Danio rerio: one gene and its partner. The protein of the gene in region 2 purifies or fractionates together with the protein of the main gene of each other region. This does not show direct contact. Links are inferred from orthologs where the notes say so. Each region holds a gene or a part of one and is shown on either strand. Other genes may lie near its edges.

The links.
Region 1: the proteins of chd1l (region 2) and xrcc1 purify together in Homo sapiens (affinity purification with mass spectrometry; 3 studies listed by BioGRID and IntAct, counting the BioPlex papers as one, with this or other methods). This does not show direct contact. The link is inferred for Danio rerio from reciprocal best matches to the Homo sapiens genes CHD1L and XRCC1.

The regions. Positions count from the first base shown.
Region 1 is NC_133191.1:58,622,279-58,633,916, forward strand, and holds the end of xrcc1 (DNA repair protein XRCC1), read left to right. Parts: intron 1-2,936; coding exon 2,937-2,979; intron 2,980-3,660; coding exon 3,661-3,800; intron 3,801-3,879; coding exon 3,880-3,970; exon of another isoform or gene 3,971-5,568; intron 5,569-5,764; exon of another isoform or gene 5,765-6,167; intron 6,168-7,460; coding exon 7,461-7,536; intron 7,537-9,776; coding exon 9,777-9,884; 3' UTR 9,885-10,714; downstream 10,715-11,638. UniProt on the Homo sapiens protein: Scaffold protein involved in DNA single-strand break repair by mediating the assembly of DNA break repair protein complexes. Negatively regulates ADP-ribosyltransferase activity of PARP1 during base-excision repair in order to prevent excessive PARP1 activity.
Region 2 is NC_133181.1:39,397,323-39,409,575, reverse strand, and holds the start of chd1l (chromodomain-helicase-DNA-binding protein 1-like), read right to left. Parts: upstream 7,733-12,253; 5' UTR 7,626-7,732; coding exon 7,532-7,625; intron 4,284-7,531; coding exon 4,171-4,283; intron 4,063-4,170; coding exon 3,956-4,062; intron 1,617-3,955; coding exon 1,502-1,616; intron 1,405-1,501; coding exon 1,373-1,404; intron 1-1,372. Other genes in the region: sft2d2a (SFT2 domain containing 2a), read right to left, coding at 8,270-8,321, 8,558-8,587, 9,129-9,187, 9,304-9,339, 10,308-10,389, 10,473-10,558, 11,794-11,883, 12,064-12,129. UniProt on the Homo sapiens protein: ATP-dependent chromatin remodeler that mediates chromatin-remodeling following DNA damage.

The DNA of each region.
Region 1 (11,638 bases), on a different chromosome or scaffold from region 2:
TATTTAACCAGTTATTTTGGAAAATAAATCAGCTTTAGGCTGATTTCTACTTATGCGTTGAGCAAACACGTGTGCTCCGGCACAGCCTCAGTGCGCTCGCATAGCCCTCGCCCTAACGCTGATGCGCACCTCTCAAAAAAATTTAACTTAAATTTAAAATTTAAATAGCGCCAAGCTCTGTGATTGGTCTGCTTGGTAGCGCTGATGAGTATGGGTGGTGTTGAGAGCTGCAAGCCTGATGGGAGTGAGTGTTTGCATGTGTCCTATGAAGGAGCTCCTGGTGGAGACTTCTGCTTTGTGTTTATCTCATGATTAAAGCTATTGCTGGTTCCTGCCTCTAAATGAGCGAGTTTGAGCTACTTGTACATTAAGGTAGCATTCAGAAAAAACAAAACACCCATAAAAAAACTACAGAGAAACAAAAACCTGCTGCCAGCTAGCGTTTCGAAAGCGTTATTGCAGAGCAACACGAAACAGTGCACAGAAGTATACATGCACGACTACGCTCAAGGCAAGCACCGTGGGCCCCAGCGATATGTATAAACCAGCCTTTAAAATGACGTTTAAAAACTTAACTAGGTTGATTAGTTAACTAAGCAAGTTACTGGACAAAAATTGTTTATTCTGTAGCCAATAAGATGTAAGATGTTCTCAAGAAAAACAGTTTTATATAAAATTGCATGCGTGTGTGTGTCTATCTATATAGTTATTTATTTATATTTATTGTTACAGGTTTGTTTATTTATTTTTTCCTGGTGCTGGGATGTCTACTAGATGGCGCTATTGTCTTGAGGTCGCTTGTTCCCTATGTGCATAGGTTGGAGTGCTTTACGGATGTGTTGCATTGCCAGTAATGAGTGCATGATAAAACAATTCTTCATTTGTTCTCTTGAGAAAAGCTTTCGTTTTTGGCTTAACTTACGCTGCCTAATCATTCCCCTGCAGCACCAGAGTTTTTGTTTGTTTAAATAATTTCTTTTGCATTTGATCTTGTTTAACTTACTTTAATATTTCTTGCTTTTTTAATTATTCGATTGGTGGCATGAACTCTTAATTATGTTGCAAACTGTCTAGAGCTGAACACGCACATATATATATATATATATATATATATATATATATATATATATATATACATATATATATATATATATATATATATATATATATATATATATATATATATATATATATATATATATACATACACACACACACACACATATATATATATATATATATATATATATATATTTACACACATATATATATATATATATATACATATACATACATATATATATATATATATATATATATATATATATATATATATATATATATATATATATATATAAACAAATGTTAATATCAAAAAATTAAAACCTGCAAATTTAACAATTACAACTTAGCAAGCTTAATAAAAAAGTCATTAAGCTACAACTTAAATTATCTAGATCTAAACAAAATGAGGATCATCTGCTGAAGTATGATTGTTGACAATCTTTTCCTGTACTTTTTGTACATTTTATTGCTAAAGTCATTAGTAACTTAACGAATGTCACTTTAAATTGTAACTGTTAGTGTTACTGAGGAAAATAATCAAGTGAGGTAGGACTGGACATTATATCTCAATTGTTATCGCAACAAAAGTATATGCAAGTATTGCAAACGTGTGATAAATTAAATGTAGTTTATATATTAGTTATCTAAATTTGACCGGTCAGATGGGGCCTTACTTACTTTAGCACCGCCTACCCTGTTCACTATTGGCTGTAGCGGCTCAAAGCTGAACCCAGAGCTAAAAATAAACACTAATTAATGGAGAAGAGATGAGAGGAAAATGGCAACAGCCAATCAGAGTTTCACTCATAGGGCAAAGTCTAAAGCGCAGGGCGCATTCAGGGCATGTCAGAATCCACTTTTGCTATTTTAAGAATGGAAAAATCCGCTTTGCGCCGTGGCGCATGGTCTAACAGAGTTGAGCTTATTCTCTTATATATATATATTAGTTATAGGTGTGTTTTGAGAATAAACCAATCAGAGTCTCGTCTCCCATTCCCTTTAAGAGTCAGCTGCGTGGTGCTATAACGATTTGCTATTTACATGGCGGACTTTGTAAGTGGAAAAACAGCACTTCACTGGCGAGAAAACAGTTAAACAGAGCATCTGCAGCACGAGGATAAAGAATGAGCCTCCTCCATTAGGCCTCTTTTACGCACAGACATCCATTAGCCTACATAAATAATTTGGTTAAGCGCAAAGATTTGCTTCAAAGCTATTTCTAAATTCAGTTCTAATTTCCAGCAAACGAATAAAAGAACAATAATAACCAAGTGTGCTCAAAAACCTGAGTTATATCCTAATACACATGCTGCGCCCCATATGGTCTAAAACCTGACAGGTGGACAAATCTAAGCTTGTTTTTAATAAAACAAATATAAATATAAATATAATAAATAATACTGCTAATAATAATAACATTATACAAAAGCAAATTGTCATGAATAAACTAAAAAAAAAGCCTTTATAAAAAAGCACCTTATTGCCCCAGGTGTATGTTAGGGCCCATAGTGTTTTAAAGACTAAGAAAACCCAGTTTTTTAGTCTGAATTAGAATTAAAAAGATCTTAAAAATATAATTTACCTGTTTATTTTATTATCATTAAATAATAAATGATTTTAAAGCAGCTAATAAAAACAGCATTTTTCAAGGGAAATGGTATATCGTAAGCAATAATGTTATTGTGATACTCAGCAATAATAATAGCAATATTGCATATTTTCCCAGTATTGTGCAGCCCTAAAAGAAGCATTTTAATTTCCAATACTATCCAAAGCATCTCGTTCTTGATGATTAAATGATAAGGTATGTTTGTGCTAATGCTTGTCCTACTCTTTATTGTGTTTATTGTTTATCCTGCATCTCTTCTCAGGTGATGATGGCTCTGGCATGGACACCGAAGATGAGCTCAACAGGTACGACATGCATTGCATTCCAAACTCACTGTCGCTATGTGCAAATAAATGCTTGTAATTGTTCTTTAACATCCCCGGTTTGTGTAACCCAGCTGTCTTTAAAATCTCATTATTGTTGAGTTGATGTCGTCTTAATGCATCTGTGTGAGCTGAAAGGAGGGTATTTGATCAGGCGTGAGTGATGGTTGCTTTCTTTCTGCTAAAATAAACTGTGTTTTATAGTTGGTTATTCTTAAACATTTTCAACAATACACTGTAGGCTAAATGACTACCCTTTCATTATGCTGGGGGCTGTTTTTGCCCCATTGACTTCCATTGTAATGACATTTATCAAGATTAATAGAAAATCTAAATAAGCAGCTCAGCTCTCATAACATAGTATGTTTCTGCACACACGCTATAATCTGCTGTTTTACTCTGTAGAGCTTTTTGCACAGGCCGATCTAAAGGTTTAATGCTGATAACTGATTTGATCTCACTCTTATGAGATTATGAAATGCTTTAACTGTGACTTTTGATCAATTCAATGCATCAATTCAATGTAAATCCTTGCATGCCAGTAATTACCTAAAATGTGTATCGAGTTAATGCATTGGCTGGGTTAGGAATGGCAAAGAGTTCCTTGATTTTTCTATAGCATCAGATGTGTAATGCTCCAGTGTTTATGTTCGTCTATTTTAGGGTGGAGATGGCGAGCAGGAAGAAAAAGGCAGCAGAGCAAAGCGCAGATAAGGGAAAAAATGAAGATCCGTACGGCGGCTCGACTGATGAAAACACAGACGCTGAGGAAGAGGAGGATAAACCCATCCCTGAACTGCCAGGTCTGACACCTCCTGCTGCACTTTCATCTAAAAAGTCTTGAGGATCTTTGAGAAATCATCTTTGTTTTCGCTCCTTCAGATTTCCTAAAGGGGAAGCGCTTCTATCTTTACGGCAAGTTCCCTGACAACCAAAAAAGACTACTTCTGCGCTACATCATCGCCTTCAATGGGTATGAACGTGTGTTTATAAGTGTGTCTGTGTGATCCATTTAAAGCGGAGTGATGATTAAGAAGCTGTAGGCGATTTAAAAATATGGACGTAGTGTCCATGATGTCAACAGTAGGATTTCTAAAGAGTGCACATAGATATATACACTAGATATCGAATAGGGACCCTGAGCATGCGTCAGTAGCGCCGCCACATTGGTACAGTGCTCCCAGGACAAATGTCATTCAACTGCACTAGACAAGACAGTGTTATTACGTGAAGATGCGGGACTTTAGCGCTGTCTACGGGTGTAGTAACGAGCAATCAAAGAAAAGAAAGCACAAAGGCAGAACATTTCATAGGTAATATTAAGTTTTTTACGTTTTTGTATGTTATGACTTTTGTATTCAACATTGATGATAACAGTCACTTACTGCATTCACCATAAGGCAAAGTAGCTCCAACTCGCACTAAACACTCGGCTTATGCTGGTTTTGTTGAATAAAATCAGCAAACAATGCAAATGAAATATGACAACGAGATGCTGCGCTGCCAGAAACTTGTATTATTGTTGGCTAGTGAACGAGTCGTTCATAACGGGGATTCATTCACAAGCGAATCGCTCCCTCCGTCAGTATGAGCAGTGAAAGCAGGAGAGGAGCTGTGTTTCAGGACATGATTAGATCAAATTTAACAGGGAGGGTGAATAGTACATTTCTGTACACACAAACACAAGCTTTTTGTTAGGAATGCCCGTGCGGTCACTGATCCATCAATGTAGAAAAGTGATGTAAAATTAAAATTTTCGTAATAAAAAAAAAATTTGCATACTAACATCCAGGAAAACTCACAATCATAGATATATGTGTATATGTGTATATCTCTGGCTTTGGGTTGGCACAGTCCTCCACTGTACCTTGGTCCCGCATTCATTTCAAAGGAGCGCTACCCTGTTCCAAGATGTCGGCTCTATTGACGCATTCCGTCCAATAGACAACAACAGGGTAGGCGACATCTAATGTATATATTTATGAAGAGCGCAAATGAAGTGGGCGGAGCTTTTCTAATTGCCAATCATGCATTACTCCCTAATAATTAAAAATGCAATGAGGTGGTGAATAGGCGGAGCTAGAGATGCCCTTTTTATTGATGAAACACTTCACACTTCCTTTAAAGGTGACCTGTTTGTGTTCTGGCCACATGCGCTCGGTTGAATTTTAGATTGACTTTGTGCTTTCTTTTAATGCCATGCAGCCCTTTTAAGCATTAAAGTGGTAAATGCTAATAAATACGTCAAATAAAGTCTAAATGCTAGGCTATCATGAAACGCTATGAGATCTGAAATGCAGACTTGGCATTGTATGACAGTGTTTCATATGACTGTGTTATAGACCATTTCAATATGGCGATATCACTGGTTCATGAACAGTGCCGGCTTGTCTTAAAACCTTTTCAGAACTGTAACAAGAGGGGATTCAGTCGTACCTAATGTTAACACGGCTGTCATTATAAAAAGTATCAACATGTGGAACTTTCTGGGTTCTCAGAAGCTTTGGAAATGAAAGATGTAAAACAGGAAATGCATTAGGACCATTGTTATTGTTTACATCCCTCAAAATGGTCTATAGCTGACAGCTGATTGATTTCTCAGATTCTGGAGGGCATTACAGTTCTGAATATTAATTATAAATGGATAATACATAATTTTAAATAAATGAAATACATATACAGTTGAAGTCAGAATTATTAGCCCCCCCTGAATTAATATTCCCCCCTTGTTTATCCCCACCCCCCATTTCTGTTTAACGGAGAGCAGGTTTTGCCAGCACATTTCTAATCATAATCATTTTAATAACTCATTTTTAATAATTGATTTATTTTATTTTTGTCTTGATGACAGTAAATAATATTAGACTAGATATTCTTCAAGACACTTCTATACAGCTTAAAGTGACATTTAAAGGCTTCACTAGGGTAATTAGGGTGACTAGGCAGGTTAGGGTAATTAGGCAAGTTATTGTATAATGATGGTTTGTTCTGTAGACTATCAAAAAAATATAGCTTAAAGGGGCTAATAATATTGAGCTTAAAATGGCTTTTGAAAAATTAAAAACTGCTTTTATTCTAGCCAAAATAAAACAAATAAAACTTTCTCCAGAAGAAAAAATATTATCAGACATACTGTGAACATTTCCTGAATCTGTTCAACATCAACTGGGAAATATTTAAAAAGAAAGAAATATTCAAAGGGTGGCGAATAATTCTGCCTTCAACTGTGTATACTTATTTTATATAATTTATTCAATGTATAATAAATAGTGTATGGCTTTTTGAATCATACTATAGTAAAGTACTTAAATTAGTCTGTTGTGGTGATTCTACAGTTGCTATGCTATCACAACAACTATATAATAATTCTGACTTTAACTGTATAGTTGAAATTTATATAAAAAAATTACTCATCAGGGTTCAACGCTAATGATTTTTTATACGGGTCCGATCGGGCTATTGCTTAAGATTTTTACATGCCCTGTCAAAATTTTCACTAGCCCCACCAAAAAAACTAAAAAGTTAATAGCGATTTCTTAGCCATATATTTTAAATAGTGGCAAAATTATGCCTGTGAATCTAGAATTTAAACATTTTAAATATGTTAATAAATTTATAATGAGCAAGATTCAAGATTTTATGCAAATGAAAGAGCAGTATGAAAAATGTGCTGGTGTTTTAATGCAATTCTAAATAACTTTTTATAAAAGTGGCTTGCCAAACTGACAACTGTTATTTTTTTGTTCTTTTTTTCAGTTTCTTAATTTTGTACCCATGTAATGGTCTGCTTCTAAGCCTTTAGAAACGTTTTCTTTTAGCCTTATTGTTTAAATTTGCCACCATATTGCCATCTTTTCACTGTACTGGTTGTTACCAGGTCAAAAAACAAAACAAAAAAAAAACATTCTCATCGTTACTGGCCGATAGGGGCCAGTAACAATCCTGTCTACTGTCCCGAGTGTCTTTCACGCTGGCCCCGGGCCACCGGGCAGTCCTTATTGTTGAGCCCTGCTCATGTAATAGAATGGTGGCCAGACTTAGTTATCACAATTAACTGCAAAACATTTTTGATAGTTTTAAGAAATAATCCCGAAAAGCAATAGACTGTAAAGCTGCATAAACAAAGGCACAAATGTGATCTACATAATGGCCAAGAATTATCTGAGCAAAAGACACCTGTAACTCAAGTGGCCACGCCCTTAATTATGCACAATTTTAGGGCTTAATATAAATTAAACTTGAGTTAAAAAAAAAAAAAAAAATCATCCTTTCACAATTGTCATGAAGAAGAATATCAGCTATATACAGCTAGACCACTTTTTGTACCAAGCTGTAAACATTTGTTTCTGCTGTAAATCTGGTCATTTTAGCATGGAAAGCCTATGGAGTCAAATCCCAATTGGAGCCTCTGGTGGCCAGTGAATGAACTGCATTTTTATTCAGAGCCTTTATTTTATCCTCAGAGCTGTTGAAGACTACATGAGCGAGAAGGTCCAGTTCGTCATCACCAGTGAGGGATGGGACGACTCTTTCGAGGATGTGAGTATTTCATCTTTTTACCTGAAACACAATTTGTTTTTAGCAGTGTTTCTATTTATTTATCTGAGATTGCTGCATGTGTTTTGAAGGACAGATCTATCAATCCTCGAAATCATGATCAGCTATTGGCTGACGGCACAGCAGCGTAATGACATCATCTGATTAATATTCAATTATCCATGTGAGCAAAATTAGATCATATTCATAGTAAGCGGTTTGCTAAATATGACACGCAATAACTTTCCACATTTGTTGTGGGCTGCAGGCTTTATACTTTCATGTGTCAAGAGTATTTAACAGTTTATTTAGTTTTACAGTTAGAGTAGATTTTCTTCATTATAGTAGACTAGGCCTATTTTAATCTCTTCATTTAAATTAATTTTGCATCAAAAAAGCATTTTGATATTGGTTACGGTGTCTGCAACTTTTGCAAAACATCAAATCACCAGCATATTAGCTGTCAAAACATGTGCATGACTGCATAAATTATTATTCCATTATAAACGAACAAACAAACAACAGTTGAGTATTGTGGATGTCTATTATCATACAGAAATTGTACTGAAGCTGGATCAGTGCCTTAAAATAGTATGCATTTGTATCTAAAAAGTCCATATTAATAAATGTTCTCTTTGATCCCCTTGGGGATTTTTGTACTTTTATTTCAGAGTGCAGATTGCAAACGTTTTATTTACATAATTTTTTAACGTTGTTGTATGTAAACTTAAGTATTATTAATTATTTAATTCATTCATTCATTTTCTTGTCTTCTTAGTCCCTTAATAATCTGGGGTCGCCACAGCGGAATGACCCGCCTACTTATCCAGCAAGTTTTTTTACGCAGCAGATGCCATTCCACCCGCAACCCATCTCTGGGAAACATCCACACACAAACTCATACACTACAGACAATTTAGCCTACCCAATTCCCCTATAGCGCATGTCTTTGGACTGTGGAGGAAACCGGAGCACCCGGAGGAAACCCACGCCAACGCAGGGAGAACATGCAAACCCCACACAGATATGCCAACTAAGCCGAGGCTTGACCCAGCGACCTTCTTGCTGTGAGGCGACAGCACTACCTACTGCGCCACTGCTTCGCCTAATTATTCAATAATAAATTATATTAATTATTATAAATTACAAATGTGTATATATAAACTATTTTAACTATTTTTAAACTATTTTACGAAGTGTATATAGTTTATAGGTAAGAAAATATCAGCATTTGGTACATACTTTCAGTATTATCTTTGCATGAAATAAACCTGCTCCCGAGCAGGTTTGAGCTACCAGAACTGTTGCTATGACAACAACTCTCGGATCAGTTTTGAAGAATGAAACAATCCTGGATCACGACAAATCGTCAATAACCAAATCCAGCTAACTGAGTAATCCATGTACGAAGAACAAACCCCTGGTGCAGTTACATCTGAGCTGCATGCAATGCTTTTAATGCACTCACCTAGCCCCGCCCCTCACAGTGGCATCACTAGCTCCATTGAGTGCATTGTGTCTGTCATTGCATCTCTGAGATATGCAATCTCAGCTTGCGTCTAATGGCTGCGTTCAGATACTATTGGCCTATCATTTGTTGTGTTTAGTACAGAAATGCACTTATTTTAGTGGTGGTGGCCCATTTGCATTGTATTTATTGTGTTTTGAATGCAAATGCCACTTTATTAAAAATGTTTTGCATGTTATTGATGTTTATCAAAAACAAGTTATGTAATATCAATTGTTCTGCCCCCTTTGACCTTTGAAAATTCAGATTTGGACCTTTTAATGTAGACATTGAGAACCCCTGATTTAGTAGTTGAATGATGCAAGTTTTACTCTGGCTGATAGCGATATTTATCAGTGGAGCTGATGGCCAAAATATAATGCACACTTGTTTGTTTTGGCCCATATGTTCAAACAATTTTTATAGTGTTTAAATTGAAGATCTACTGTGACTGCATCATAACGCGTGACTTAATATGACAATGTAGGAAACTGTCTCAGCCGAGTCCATTGACACACAAGTTTGCTTTTAATTGAATGTACATTTGAACATCTTTGAGAGAGTTTTCACTGACGGAAAATGCAGATCTGTTTTTGTTCAGCCGCTGTCATTGATGTGGTTTTCTTCAGCCGCTCTGCACAGCAATCAAAACCCCTATGCATTAAACGTCTCCTCGAGTCAAGGCCCAGTTTCTACCCTTTCATCTCCTTTTACTGCCTCTTCTGTCTTTTTACAGGCCTTGATGGAAAATGGGAGTCTGAGCTTTGTGAAGCCTACCTGGATATTCGCCATCAATGACAGACAGAAGATGTTGCCTTATCAGCCATACACTGTTGTGCCTTAATAGAGTTTTTCATGTTTTCAACCATCAATCCCTGCCTTGACCTGAGCAGACACTGGCTCAACCTATAAACAAAAGACTTCTGCCGTTATTTTAGCTCTCTAATGTCTTTAGAGACCTGTCTGACTTTCTTCTGTTTGATAGTTAACAGACCTTCTGTCCCACTGAGGAACATCATACAGGTTTGGAAAGAGGTGTGAAATAATAAATGAATGAATTAACAATCTTTGGATTGAACTTTTAATACCCCATATCTGTCACAGGTCTTTGTTTTGATGCTGAAAAATGGACTTATGGCATATACCAGCCCACCAGCCCAGAGATAAAAGACTCTGATGCATATTCATGATCGGTTTTACCAGCAATTCAAAGCTGTTTATGAAGCTGTTAAATATTAATTACTAAAGACCAAACCTAAAAACCCTTTTGATTCTGACTTGCGGAGAACGTGCTTATTTATAATGTATGTTCCGATGTACTGTCAATTATTGATTAACTGATCCATATTTAGATTTTTTGGCTTATTGAGTTGGTTAAGATGGAAAGATTTCAACTTGGTGTGGTCTTTAGCATTAATATTACAATAATAATATTGCTTTTGTGTGGAGCTCAAGCATATTTAAGAAAAAGAAGCACCTGAAATTAATATTGCTGTACTTTTTTAATGTTTCTTGTTCTTAAGTGTTGATGTTTGTTGTTTTATTTTGGATTCACTTTAACGTTTGACTAAATTCTTGATGTATTTTGCTTGTTACGTTTCTTTAATGTAAGTAATACTTTGAGGTTCTAGCTTAAAAGAGCACAGAATAAAGTTGGAAAATAGTTTTGCTGAAGTGATGTTGTGGATCTTCTGGTTTCTGTTTGGAAGGTATCTTATAATTAGGCCCACACGGAATCTGCGCGCGCAGAATTCCGCAGATTTTCCGCAGAATTCCACAGATTTATGCAGATTTTAAGCCCATTATTAATTCTATTTATTTACTTGAGTAAATGTATAAATCTGAATTTATTCAGTTTTTATTTAGTAATTTATTACTTTTTATTTAATATATTAAGGTGTAAGTTATGATACTCCGCTGGATACTCTCAAAATAATTCCGCAGAAATCCGCAGATTTTACTAAAATTCTCCGCAGAAATAGCAAAAAAAACGTCCGCAGATTCCGTCTGGCCCTGGTTATAATCAATCATTTTCCTGTTCCTGCTCTAAAGTAAAAAGAGTACCAATGTACCAAAAATGGTGAAGTGTTTCCTTTCCTTTGAGGAAAATATTTGTTTAATTTTTGCAATATTTTTGTAGTTACAGGACTGCATTGTTTTGTCCACATGAATAATGTTTTTTAGTATGGGTTTCAGAGTTCAGGTTTGGGGAAACTGCAACAAACAATTAATGAAAACCTTAAAATTGTGTGTATGTGCTCAATCTATAGGCATGAGCAAGTACAACATTAGATTACAGGTGATTATTTATATTAGTCCTGTGTTAAAGAGTAGTGATAAGATGTTGATGTTAATCCACCATATAAAAAAAAGATTAGCTGACATAATTTAACACATTTGTTTATTAATCACTGTAATTGTTTACATCTAATATTTCATGTGTAATGTGCAATCGTAGCTGGTTTAAAACCATCTTTCTAATCCAGCTTAACCCGTTTGTGATCTGTCCTAGCGAACTACCTAATTAGGCTGTTTCCTTTTCAGCAGAGATTCGTCAAACAGAATTCTGAATTTGTACAGAATTTTATATTACTGTGC
Region 2 (12,253 bases):
CGTTCGATATCCAGCTGGGTCAGTTGGCATTTCTATGTGGAGTTTGCATGTTCTCCCCCATGTTCATGTGGGTTACCTCCAGGTGCTTCGGTTCACTATAGGTGAATTAAATAAGCTAAACTGTTCATGGTGTATGAGTGTGAATGAGTGTGTATGGATGGTTTCCCAGTACTGGGTTGCAGCTGGAAGGGCATTTGCTGCATAAAACATATGATAGATAAGTTGGCAGTTCATTCCGCTGTGTCGACCCCTGATTAATAAACGGACTAAGCCGAAAAGAAAATGAATGAATGATTTGTACATTATTGTTATTATGTTGTTTCATGTTGATAACTGATATTTGTTGGACATAAAAAAAAAAAATTAGACAATATTTTTGTCTAAATAATTAAAAATATGACACAAAACCTTTACAGCTACAAATGGCTAATTTATTATAAATCAGTTATTTTTAAAAAACCAACGACAAGCAACTCTAATCAAAAACAATAAAAAAGACAGAGAAAAACAACATTTGGAACAAAAAAAAATTATAATAAAATAGAATTTGGAAAAATTTCATAGGGCTTAAAATTCAAATTGTGGAATTAATCAATATTTACATTTAAAATTAGGTTACGAAGAAGTCCTGTAAAGTGCTGTGAATTGTGTAATTTTTATCCGAAATTGGACGTAATCTCAACTAAAACATGAAGAGAGAGTGGGACAGAGTGGCTTTGTTTTATTGTTTTTCTCACAGCTCTGTCAGTGAAAACGGTTGAGCTCAAGCACATCAAATGAAAAGCAAATGAGTGTTGAAGGGGGCGGGGCATGTCAGATACTAAAGAGCATAAGATTGACCAAGATTTGAGGAGAAACTGAAGTATGAGGTTACGTGATTTGTTGATCCATTAGACATCCTTAACTAACATACTGCTTGTTACATCTAAAAAAAAACTTTATTTTAATTTCACGGAACCTTTAACTTTAAAAAGTGTTAAATGACCACAAAGCATGTTTTGAGAGGGAATTTAACATTAAATAAACAAAATTTACAAATATACATCTCCAACACCATCATTAAATAATAAGTGATAAAAAATATATATATAAAAACACTATTCTGGATCAGGGTGGGGCCAAGTAGGATCACTCTGATCCCCCGAGCTCTTCAAGGGTTGTGGAAATTCCACATTGAACCAAAACAAACCATTACAATTGGCTTAAGATTGGCAAGGAAAATTCAGCACATGCGTCAACCAGCAGAACTTAGGCGGAAAAAACACTATTGTGTAAACACGGTTAATTACATTCAAAATTCCTGAGTAGCAGTATTAAGGGTTATTATATCTATTCATATAATTTCATGCCAAAAACAGGAAAGAAAAATCACCTTTTTAGGTAGCGGGCATCCTTAAGGCACATCTATTAAATATGAGAAAGAGTTTCCATTAAAAAAAGAACAGCTCACAGGTTTGGATAGCAACCCTCAGAAGGTTATTCTGATAAAAGGTGTTCGTACCTCATAGGTGGTGAGAAGAACATGAAACCGTGGGTCACTCTTTAGGTTTTGCTGGAGCTCTGCCCTTCTCTCTTTATCCCCAGTGTAACAGATCACAGACAGACTAGGGCAGAAACTGAAGGAAAGCAAGAAAACCAGAAGCAATCTTTCATCTGAACTGGATTTCCCATTCAAGGAGGACTTAGAATATTCAGAATTTATTTGCGATTGTCTCCATCTAGTGACAGTGACAACACATGGACTTCTTGCTTGTAAAATCATCTGATTATGGCCATAAATGCTGCTCAGTAAGTTTAGCTGAGAGTGTAAATCTGCTGTCAACTGAACTAAATAAAATTTATCCTTTTCACCACTTTGTTTATTGCTAAATGTTGCATGTTCTGGTTGTTTTGAAGAATCTAGACATTTATGGAATACATGCATCAAAAAAGTTGAGAATTCATGTCTGTCTTAAATGTGGACAATATATTTAAACTTTTCTTCAAATATTACACACTTTGGGACTGAAAAGGCGCCATTCTTAACACACAAGATTGCCTTTAAATCAAAGGTAGACTTTAATTTGATAGATATTATCGTCAGTACACAATATTAAGACAAAAGTAGAAAAATAGAAAGTCCAACTTTCAATAGCTCACAATATCTGATTTAATTAAGATCCATTTTAAGATATTTAAAGGGATATTTCAAAACTGAAAATTCACTCATCATATAATGATCCTCAAGTGGGATTAAATAATTATGTTTTATGATCTGGTTATATCGGAGCATTTGGATATGTATGGAATACATGCGTCAAAAAAAGTTTTGTAAAATAATTTTTGAATTCATGTTTGTCAATAAAATGTGTTAAATGCATTTAGCCTTTTCGTCAAATAAAACAAACTGTGGGACTGAAACACACATATTTTTTGCAAAGATTACCTGTAAACCCAAACTAATACCAAGCTATATTTACAAGATGTTATCATTGCACTATATTAGGACAAAAGTAAAAAAAAATTAAGTAAAACTTTTAAGATCACAACTATCTGATTGAATAAATATCCATTTTAACATATTTCAAGAGATATTTCACATAAAAATTAAAACTTACTCATTTTATTCATGTCCCTATTTAGCATTTTTAAACAATACCTGTAAACCCAAGCTAGTCTTTATTCTTAATTTAGAAGATGTTATCGTTACGCAATGTTAAGACAAAGGAAAACAAAATGGAAAGTGCAACTTTCAATAGATCACAATATCTGACTTAATAAATACACATTTAAAGATGTTTAAAGGGATATTTCAACTAAAACTAACAATTTACTCAAGCTTTCCTAGCCCAAAAGTGGGATCAAACATTTATGGGTTAATTTAATTCTGGTTATTTTGAAGAATCTGGGTAAATATGGAATATAAGTGTCAAAATATTTTCGTAAAATAATTAGTGAATTCATGTGTCAAAAAAAATTTGTTAAAAATATTTACTAATTTCTTCAAATATAACACACTTTGAGACTGAAAATGTTCCATTCTTAGCACACACACACACATTTTTTTTTAAGATTACCAGTAAATCCAAGTTAGTCTTTAAATTACAATATTAAGACAAAGGTAAACAAATAGAGAGTGCAACTTTCAATAGCTCACAATATCTGAGTAAATAAATTCTCATTTTAAGATATTTAAAGGGACAATTCAAAACTGAAAATTCCCTTATACAATGGTCCACATGTGGGAACAAACATTTATGCTTTATGATCTGGTTATTTTGGAATATATTGGTATGTATGGAATACATGCGTCAAAAAAATTGTGATTCATGTTTTTCAAAAAAATTGTTTCAAAATATTTGTCCTTTTCGTCAAATAGTGTTTTTATTTTGAAGTATCTGAGTATGTATGGAATATTGTGTAAATTATATAAAAAATATTTGTGAATTCATGTCTGTGAAAAAATCTGATAAATATTTAGCCTTATTTAGTTTTTTTTTTTTAATATAAAACAGTTTGGGACTAAAAATATTGCATTCTTAACACACACACGCACATTTCTTTTTAAAAAATGGTTCCCAGCAAACCGAAGCTAGTCTTTTATTTACAATGTTACCATTACACAATATTGAAACAAATTTCGAAAAACAGAAATTGCAACTTTTAACAGTCTCTGATTTAATAAATATCCATTTTAAGCTATTTTAAGGGTTAGTTAAACTAAAATCGAATCATTTACATATCCTCAATTGGGGCCAAACATTTATGAATTACTTTTTTTCTGCTGAACACAAAAAAACATTTTATGAATCTGAAAGTCATTAAAATGAATAAGAAATGTCATAGAAGTAAACTGTTATCGATTACTAAAAATGTAAGCATTCATAGCAGCACAGTAATGAACCAAGAACTTTATCGTGCATTCTTCATAATCTAAATTGACCACACAATTCTGATCACAACCAATGTCTCTTACCGTTCCAACTCTTGCCTCCAGTTCTCCAAAACAGCCAAGGGACAAAGCACAAGGAACGGCCCGTTCATCTTAAGGCTTCCTCGAGCATACGCCAGCAAAGAGATGGTCTACAGCAGAGCATGACATCTCACTTATCTCATATCTGACATCTCGGAATAAATCTTTCGGCTTAAAAGCAAGCAATATAAGCAAGATAAAGCCATCCCATTACTAACCTGACAGGTCTTGCCCAGACCCATCTCATCACCGAGGATGCAGCCCTGCTGGTTCTTCATACACAGTGACAGCCACTTCACTCCATCCAGCTGATAAGGCCTCAGATGAATAGCTATTAGGAAAGAGATAAAGGATAACAGCGTTGTTTGTAAGAAAAAAACTTTCAGATTTAGAGTATTTTAAATCATGTAACAGGTGTTCGAAGCCTTATTTCACTGCTCCAATTAATGTGACACGTGAAAAGTCAATCATGCCCGAAAATATATGCACAGCTAGTGTTTTTCAGCCAATAAGGAACTTCCGGTGAAAGCTTCATGCGACTATTTTCCCTTTCATAAAGTTCCTTTTACAGCTTTGATGGTGTTATGTAATAACACCATCAAATATAAACAGTTAAAAAGACTTAAGCATCTATTTGGTTATTAAAACATAAAAAGAGACTATTTAAACGCAAGTGCCGCCAATAGAAGCAGGTAAGCGCAAAAACTCCATTGAAAATACTGAGGTAAAATTAATTTCCATTTTTAATAGACATGGCATGGAATAATATAATTTAATGCAGTGCTTCTTGTTTGGTCTGATACCCAATTTATATCTTATCTCAGCCAGGCAGAGATTATCACTGTTATTTCAAGAAATCAGATCTTTTTTGCTGTGATTTTGTATGGGATGACAATTCACCAGAAGCCCTGGGGCTGACTGACTGAAGATAAAAGTCTGTGTGCATTACCCCATTGATGACATTGACCATTGTAATCACTTGTAAAAAATTCTAATAAAATATTTTATTTTTAATAAAAATCATCCTTTTTTGATATACAAATTTAATGCAAAGTGCATCTTTGTGTTTAAGTAAATTTGACATCAGGTTAAGATTGAGATATGCCTAGGCATGGGACGATAACCGTTTTCAAGGTATACCCCAGTTTGAAAAAGTCTAGGTTTTAAAACCGAAAAAGTTTTCTGTAATATCGTTCCTAAAATTTGTGTAAAATCTTTTATTTACATTTCTTTTTAGTTTTTTAGGACAACAGTATCTCCAGCAGAAAAAAAAATTATCCAAAAATGCCATTTTAAATGGTAAAGAAATTTGTTTTTGAAACAAATGAAGACAGCAGAAGTCATTGATTCATTTGAATTATTTAGCCTGACATGTTTACTGTAACAAGATATTATGAATCTTTGTTTTCAAAGGGGAAAAAAGTTTTTGTTTTTTTATGCAGACATTTAAAAAGAAAATATTTTAGCGCAGTAATCACAATATCGTGATACTGTGAAACCGTGATATTTTTATTAAAGGTTATCATACCATCAGAATCTCATACCGGCCCATGCCTAGATATGCCATATATTAATGAATCAATCCATGATTATTTATTTATATTACACTGAACTATCAGAATTTCAGAAAATCAGTCAGGCAATAAATCAACTCGGCTTTCCATCCAATTAAAGATGCAAGGTAACAATAAACTCCGGCCAAAAAACTGTTCAGGGTTCATACACATTCTTACTACTAAAATTCCATGACTATTCATGACGTAATGTTTCATGTAATGTCTACATATACATGGTAAATAACAAGAAAAAGAATGGTGTTTAAATTTATTACAGCATATCATATAACAGGCAACAATCTATTTTATTTAAATTACTTTTTATATCCATGTAAAATTTTGATGATGGTGAGAGCAAGTTTTTGGCCAAGAACAGAAAAGAAGACAACTAACCTGTATACAAGATAGGGCTGTATAATGTGGTTCAGAATCGATATTGTAATATGTGCATCTGCAATAGTCACATTGCAGGACATGCAATGTTGGGATTATAGTTTAATCATAATGGAACAAACATTTGTCATCTGCATGAATTTTTAAAGAGATAGTTCATCCAAAAATTACTTACCAATTTCGTTACACCCTTCACTTGTTTCAAACATTAATGATTTTCATTTTTTTTTTAAATGAACACAAAAAATATATAATTTAATAACTATAGTGAAGGGTCAGTAAATAGTGATTACATTTTCATCTTTGACAAAACTGTCCCTTTCAGGCCTTTGACTGTGAGAACATTTCAATATTTCAAATTTTAAAACAACCAGCCACAAGAAACTTTTTGTAACTTTAAGAAAGATTAAATAATATACAATGGAGACTATATCATTATTCACTTTTGTCTTTGCTATATTTAATTTATCTATGCTTGTAAGTTATTTGTTATATATTATTCAAGATTCACTCCTTTACAAAATCCCCCAATCAATCCAAATAAACCTGTTAAATCATCTGGTGAAATTGCATTCACATCGCAATATATAATCACAGAAATACAACACATTTCATCCCAATATCGTGCAGCCCTAATTTAGGTATAGAGATATTTGTTAAACTAATTTCCATGACTTTTCCAAAACTTTGTGTGTTTTTCTAATTTTTCCAAAATTTTTATTAAGGCCTGGAAAATGCCATGTCAAAATTACATGACTTTTCCAGGTTTTCCATGACCTTATGAACCCTGTGTGTTGCTCTGTCTGTCTCAAATTTTTTTTAATATAACTTAAAACAGTCCAATAAAGGTGGAGTAAACCATTACAAAACAAAGGAGTGGGGTGAAATCTAAAGATATCAACGTGTATAAACTGTACATGAATTTGAGCAACATTAATAAATTACATTAAATCAAGTTATGTCTTACCTATACATTTATGTATGTAAATAATATCATGGATAAAATCATACGCATATTCAGACAAAATCAGTTCTGTTATTGTAAAGTTACTTTGAAAAATTATTTGCATTTTCCCATAGATCACATAGGAGTTTTTCAGTGTACGAGCAAATCAAATTATAATGTTTAAAAACTTTATTAGAGTAACGTTAATATTTATTTTGCTTGTTAGAAATAAATATTAGTTTTATTGTATTAGTTTTTATCCACCTGGATTGTTCTTGAGCTAATCATGAGAAATAAATGTACGGTATTAATTTCTATTAAAAGGGTTGATCCAGGTAATTATCATATTAAATGTACTTATAAATGTAATTTATCAAAATAAAATGGCATAAGTTTTCTATATGAAGTTCACAAACGTAAATCTATGCATCTAAATCGCAAATGATTCTTCGTATTTTTATAAATACAAATGGGCAATGAGGTAAAACTTTGGGAATGTAAAACTTTTTTAAGCAAATTCATTAACGAGAAGTTATCGGTACGTTATTGATGTAACGTTATATCCAAAACTTTTTGTAAACTAATGATTTACCTGATCCAAAACGGGCTAAATACGATTAACGTAGGGTTAAGCGTTAAACATTAACTTAAACAAGTAAGTTAGCTCGCAATTGCTCCACACACCTCCAAGTCCCCATTTCTTCAGGTCATTCTCCGTTAGTTCAGATTTGTCCTTTTCTGGTATGTTGTTTCTGACTGCTCGAAGAAATGTGGACATCCTTGTTGTTTACGTTTATGTTAAATCATCTGAATTTCTTTTCTCTTTAATAGCTTGTGCGCGCCAGTTTGACGTGACTTGTTTTTCTACTTCCTGCAATAGTGAATGGGCGGGTAGCAAAACTGACGCTGTCCAATGACAAGTTGGCAACGCAAGCACGCGCTCTTTAAAGGCGCCATTCTTAAAAAAGTACATATATATTTAAAATATGTATATTTTATAAAGAATACGTGTGTAAAGATCTTAAATTCTCAAATCTCGGATTATCCTTTGAATTATATTCAACATTCTGACACAGAAAAAAAAATTGAGCTAGACTTCATTTACAAATAGTATCAGACAAAGATACAGAAAAAAATAGAAGGTCAGCTTTTTAGTATATAACTGCAATATCTACTTTAATAAATATCAATTTTAAGACATTTCATAACATTTACAAATCTGTTTTACAACACATTTAAAACACATTCAGTAAAATGTAATCTTTTGTACAGTCAGATTTAGCATGTCGTCCAGCTAACGTTAGCGATTACAACTAGCACCATCCCATAGTCTCAGTGATTATTTGTGGACCCCAGAATTGCAGAATACTTGAGCAGAGTGTTCCCAGTTCCCAGAGTGATGAAAGGATAAACATCAGCTCTTCATTTCATACACATGTTGCACAACATGGAGAAAAACTTCAGTACAGCATCCCTGGTTAAGACAAAGACAGCATAGAGAATTAAAAATACTGTACTTGGTTTCAATTGTGTCATATTTATTTTCTAGCATTCATTTACTTTCTTCAGTTTAGTCTCTATTTTAGGGGTCGCCACAGCAGAATGAACCACCTAACAAATATTCACACATCCATCAAATGCTTAATATGTTTTATCTAATTCAATATTTTAAGACAAAATAATATGTTAAAATCACAAATAATGACTAACCTTGCAAAAGGGATGTATGAGAGGCCATACCTATAAAGAAAAATTAATAAATTGATCAAATGTATTTCAGTACAGGAAAAAGCAGTGTTGGTGGTAACGCATTACAAGTAACAAGAGTTACGTAATAATTTTACTTTTCTAAGTAACAAGTAAAGTATTGCATTAAACAAATAAGTAATATTTGAGTAAGTTTTTCAAAAATGTCATGCGAGTTACTTTTTAGTTAATTAATAAGCTTTTAAAACAAATTGATGAATTTAAATTAAAGTAGTCATAATTATTCACACAGTCAATGAGAGAATGTGTTCATTATTTTGAACATATCAAAGAAAAGAAACAATGGACATTGATTTTACTTAAGACAAATAGTACAAACCCAGCAAACATATTGCTTTGAACTTTCAATAATCTGTATATGCAGCATGTATAGCACTGGGGTCAGGACATTATCCTAAAATTTTATCAGATAACATTCTATACTTTTTTTTTATTTGTTTTTTAAAGGTAAATGAAATTGTAAGTTATACAGTGTGGTGTCCATGCTTAAAATAATGTGTCATTGTAAACTTACCATGCAAATGCAAGGACTTGAAGAATGACAAACAGCAGAGTGAGAGCAAAGATCTTCCACTGTTGTACAGAGATTAGTGTTGAATTAGTATTAAAGAAAGCTAATTCTATTAGATTTATTATATACAGAGATAAAATCTAAAACTATACAGCAGGGAGAAATGCAGAAAGCTCACCCAAAATACTGCACAGAGTGTGAGAACCAGACATGTCTATGGACAGAGAAAAAATAGTGAAACTTTTAGTACTCATTAAACATCTGGTCAAATGTTTCCAAAGAGAGCACATGAATTCAAATAATAATTCTAACACTTTTTGGCGCATCCAACATGTTTTTGAAATATAATGCATTAATTCTTAGAGTTTTTTTTAAAGTTATTTAAAGGCAATATGTTTTTACTTTCAAAATTAGGATAATTTTATTAGATTCTTATTGAATAGTGAAAATCATAATAGGTGATTTCAGCCGAAAACTAAAGTTTGTTTTGTTCTTAAAACACCAGAAATGAAAAAAGTTTAAAAAGGCCTGTTTTTACTTTTTTGACTGGTAAACATTTCATGCAGTATTGCTTGGTTGTTAGAAATAGTAATCCATAATTTAAGTAATAAGTCAGCCTATATGGAATCTGTGTGCACAGAAATCTGCAGTCTATTTATTTAAACATGTATGTATGTTTAAAATAATATTTATTCTGTTTTTAAATTAATTTCAGTATTATTATTGGCTAATATGAAAATGTGCATATGATTTATTTACAATACAGTTTGTAAAGTAATATTTTCTATCTTTTATTAGATGTATTATATGAGAGACTTGCTTTGTTTGCCAAATAAGTGAATCTAATTGGATTTGCATTGTAAACATTAAATAAAGGTTAAAAACCTATTATATTTTATTTCATTTATTAAATTTGCAGTTATGATACTCCCAAACTGATTCCGCATAAAACTGCAATTTTTTTTACAAAATTCTCTGCAGAAATAGCAAAAATGTCCACAGATTCTGTCTGGCCCTAGTAATTAATAAACTTCTTTCAAGCGTCATTTGCTTTAAAACTTGAAAAGCCAGAAACTGCAAGACAACTAACATGTCTGCATTATTTTTACAACAAGTCACATCCTCATTGATGGCTTTACATGTAAAGTCAAGCAGAGTGTGGTGTGGAAAAGATTAACTCACTATCATCACAACAGTAGCAAAGGCTCTGGTCTTGTCACACATGCGTTTCAGCTGTTTCACTGGTCCCATTAAAAACATGGTGCTGTTGAGGAGTTCAAATGAAATTAATTAAAATACAATGCAAATAGTCACAGAATTTTAGTTGCTATAAACCAGATGACTCACCTTGCTAAGGAGCAAACGTTTCCCAATGTATAAAACACAACAAAAAGAAGTATCCCAATTTTGGGAATAAACAGGCAACCTACTCCCTGAGGTAGATAAAAAAATGTATATTATTAATATGACAGTTAAAAGGATATTTCTAGAAGAAGCATTTATTTTTTCATCAGAATATTTTGAAGTGAAACCACAGTCCTTGCAGATTCAACATTTTCTACTGGCACTATCACAGTCAAAATAATATGCAGAGTAAATAAAATTAATACCCGTAGCTTGTGATGATGCAGTGAGGTGTTATAAAGTGTTTTTTGCACATGCAAGAATCAAAACAGTGTTTCCAAGAAAGTTGCCCAAACTAGGGCCCGTGAGAAGAAATGGACCAAAAATGGGGAAGGTTGGGGTAAATCCCTCAAACCGAATTCATCCTTTTCAATTTTACATAACATTTTGTTTAATTGCTGAGCTACAAAAAAAAGGCAAAACTGAAAATAATGTTTAAATTAAATGTGAATTTGTATATATATATATATATATATATATATATATATATATATATATATATATATATATATATATATATATATATATATATATATAGATTACTGATATGATTAAATAATTTTTCCGAAATATGTTTAAATATTATTAATTTAGGAAGTTATCATGGCTACTTTAATGTATTGCAGTTTAGTATATTTAGCTTCGGCCCACCACCCTCAATCAACTTTGGATGTCGGCCTTTCATAAGAAAAGGTTTGGGCACCTCTGGTGTGCAACATTAATACTAGTGCTTTTCCAGGAAGCTATACATACATGTAAACAAACAGCATCAGCTCACATGAGTTTGTGTCTACAATATGTTCCCAAAAGGGAGGCTGCAGATTAATAACATCATAAATAATGTTAAATTTCTTATTGATTGCTTCCCCTAATAAGACATCAATTTGTCTTCATGAGCAACAGGTAATAATTTTGTTTAGCCTATATATTGTTTTATGACTCTAAAAGTGCAGGTTGCCTTTCAATTGCGTTTTATGAATCACCAAGGACAATATTTTCAACAAGGATGGCTTTTGTGTGAGAAAATTAATAGGCAGTTTTAATTTTTGAGTGAACAGAAAGGTATACAGAAAGTTAAACAACATCTTAAAAGAGAAACAAGTTATTTTCCTATTCTCACTCAAGATACTTGAAATGCCATTCTATACAACAGGCCAAACCGGTGACACAGCTTCTAAACATTTTCCACCAACTCATCGCCTAGCCCTTCTCAATAGTCAGGAAGCTACAAAAAATAAAATGAAATAAAGTTTAAATGACTGACCAAGATAGAGAACACTACTCCAACGACCAAACAACCAACGAATCCTTTCACGCGCGTTCCCCATCCCAGTGTGGACGCTTCATTCGCCGCCTGCAGTGAACACAACACACAACTGTAATTTACATGCTTTCGCACCTCCAAGTAAAAATATTAAGAAAAATAAAACTGAAATTAAGTTGTAACGGCAGTGTAAGCCTGTGTCATTTTATTAATTTTACAATTACAATTTCACACGTTAGGAGTTCTAGAAAATTACTATTGGTAACTCACCTGCAGTATGTTCCTGTTATCATTGTTTCCATCCCGACCACCCAGAACCGCTCTGAGTTTGTCCATTATTGAACTCTTAATTCTTTATATCCACTAATTAATTCACTCCAAATCTCTGAGAATGTGTTGTATCATCGTTCAACAGGCACTCTCGCACGACATCACTGCTCACCTTTAACTTCATCTCCCT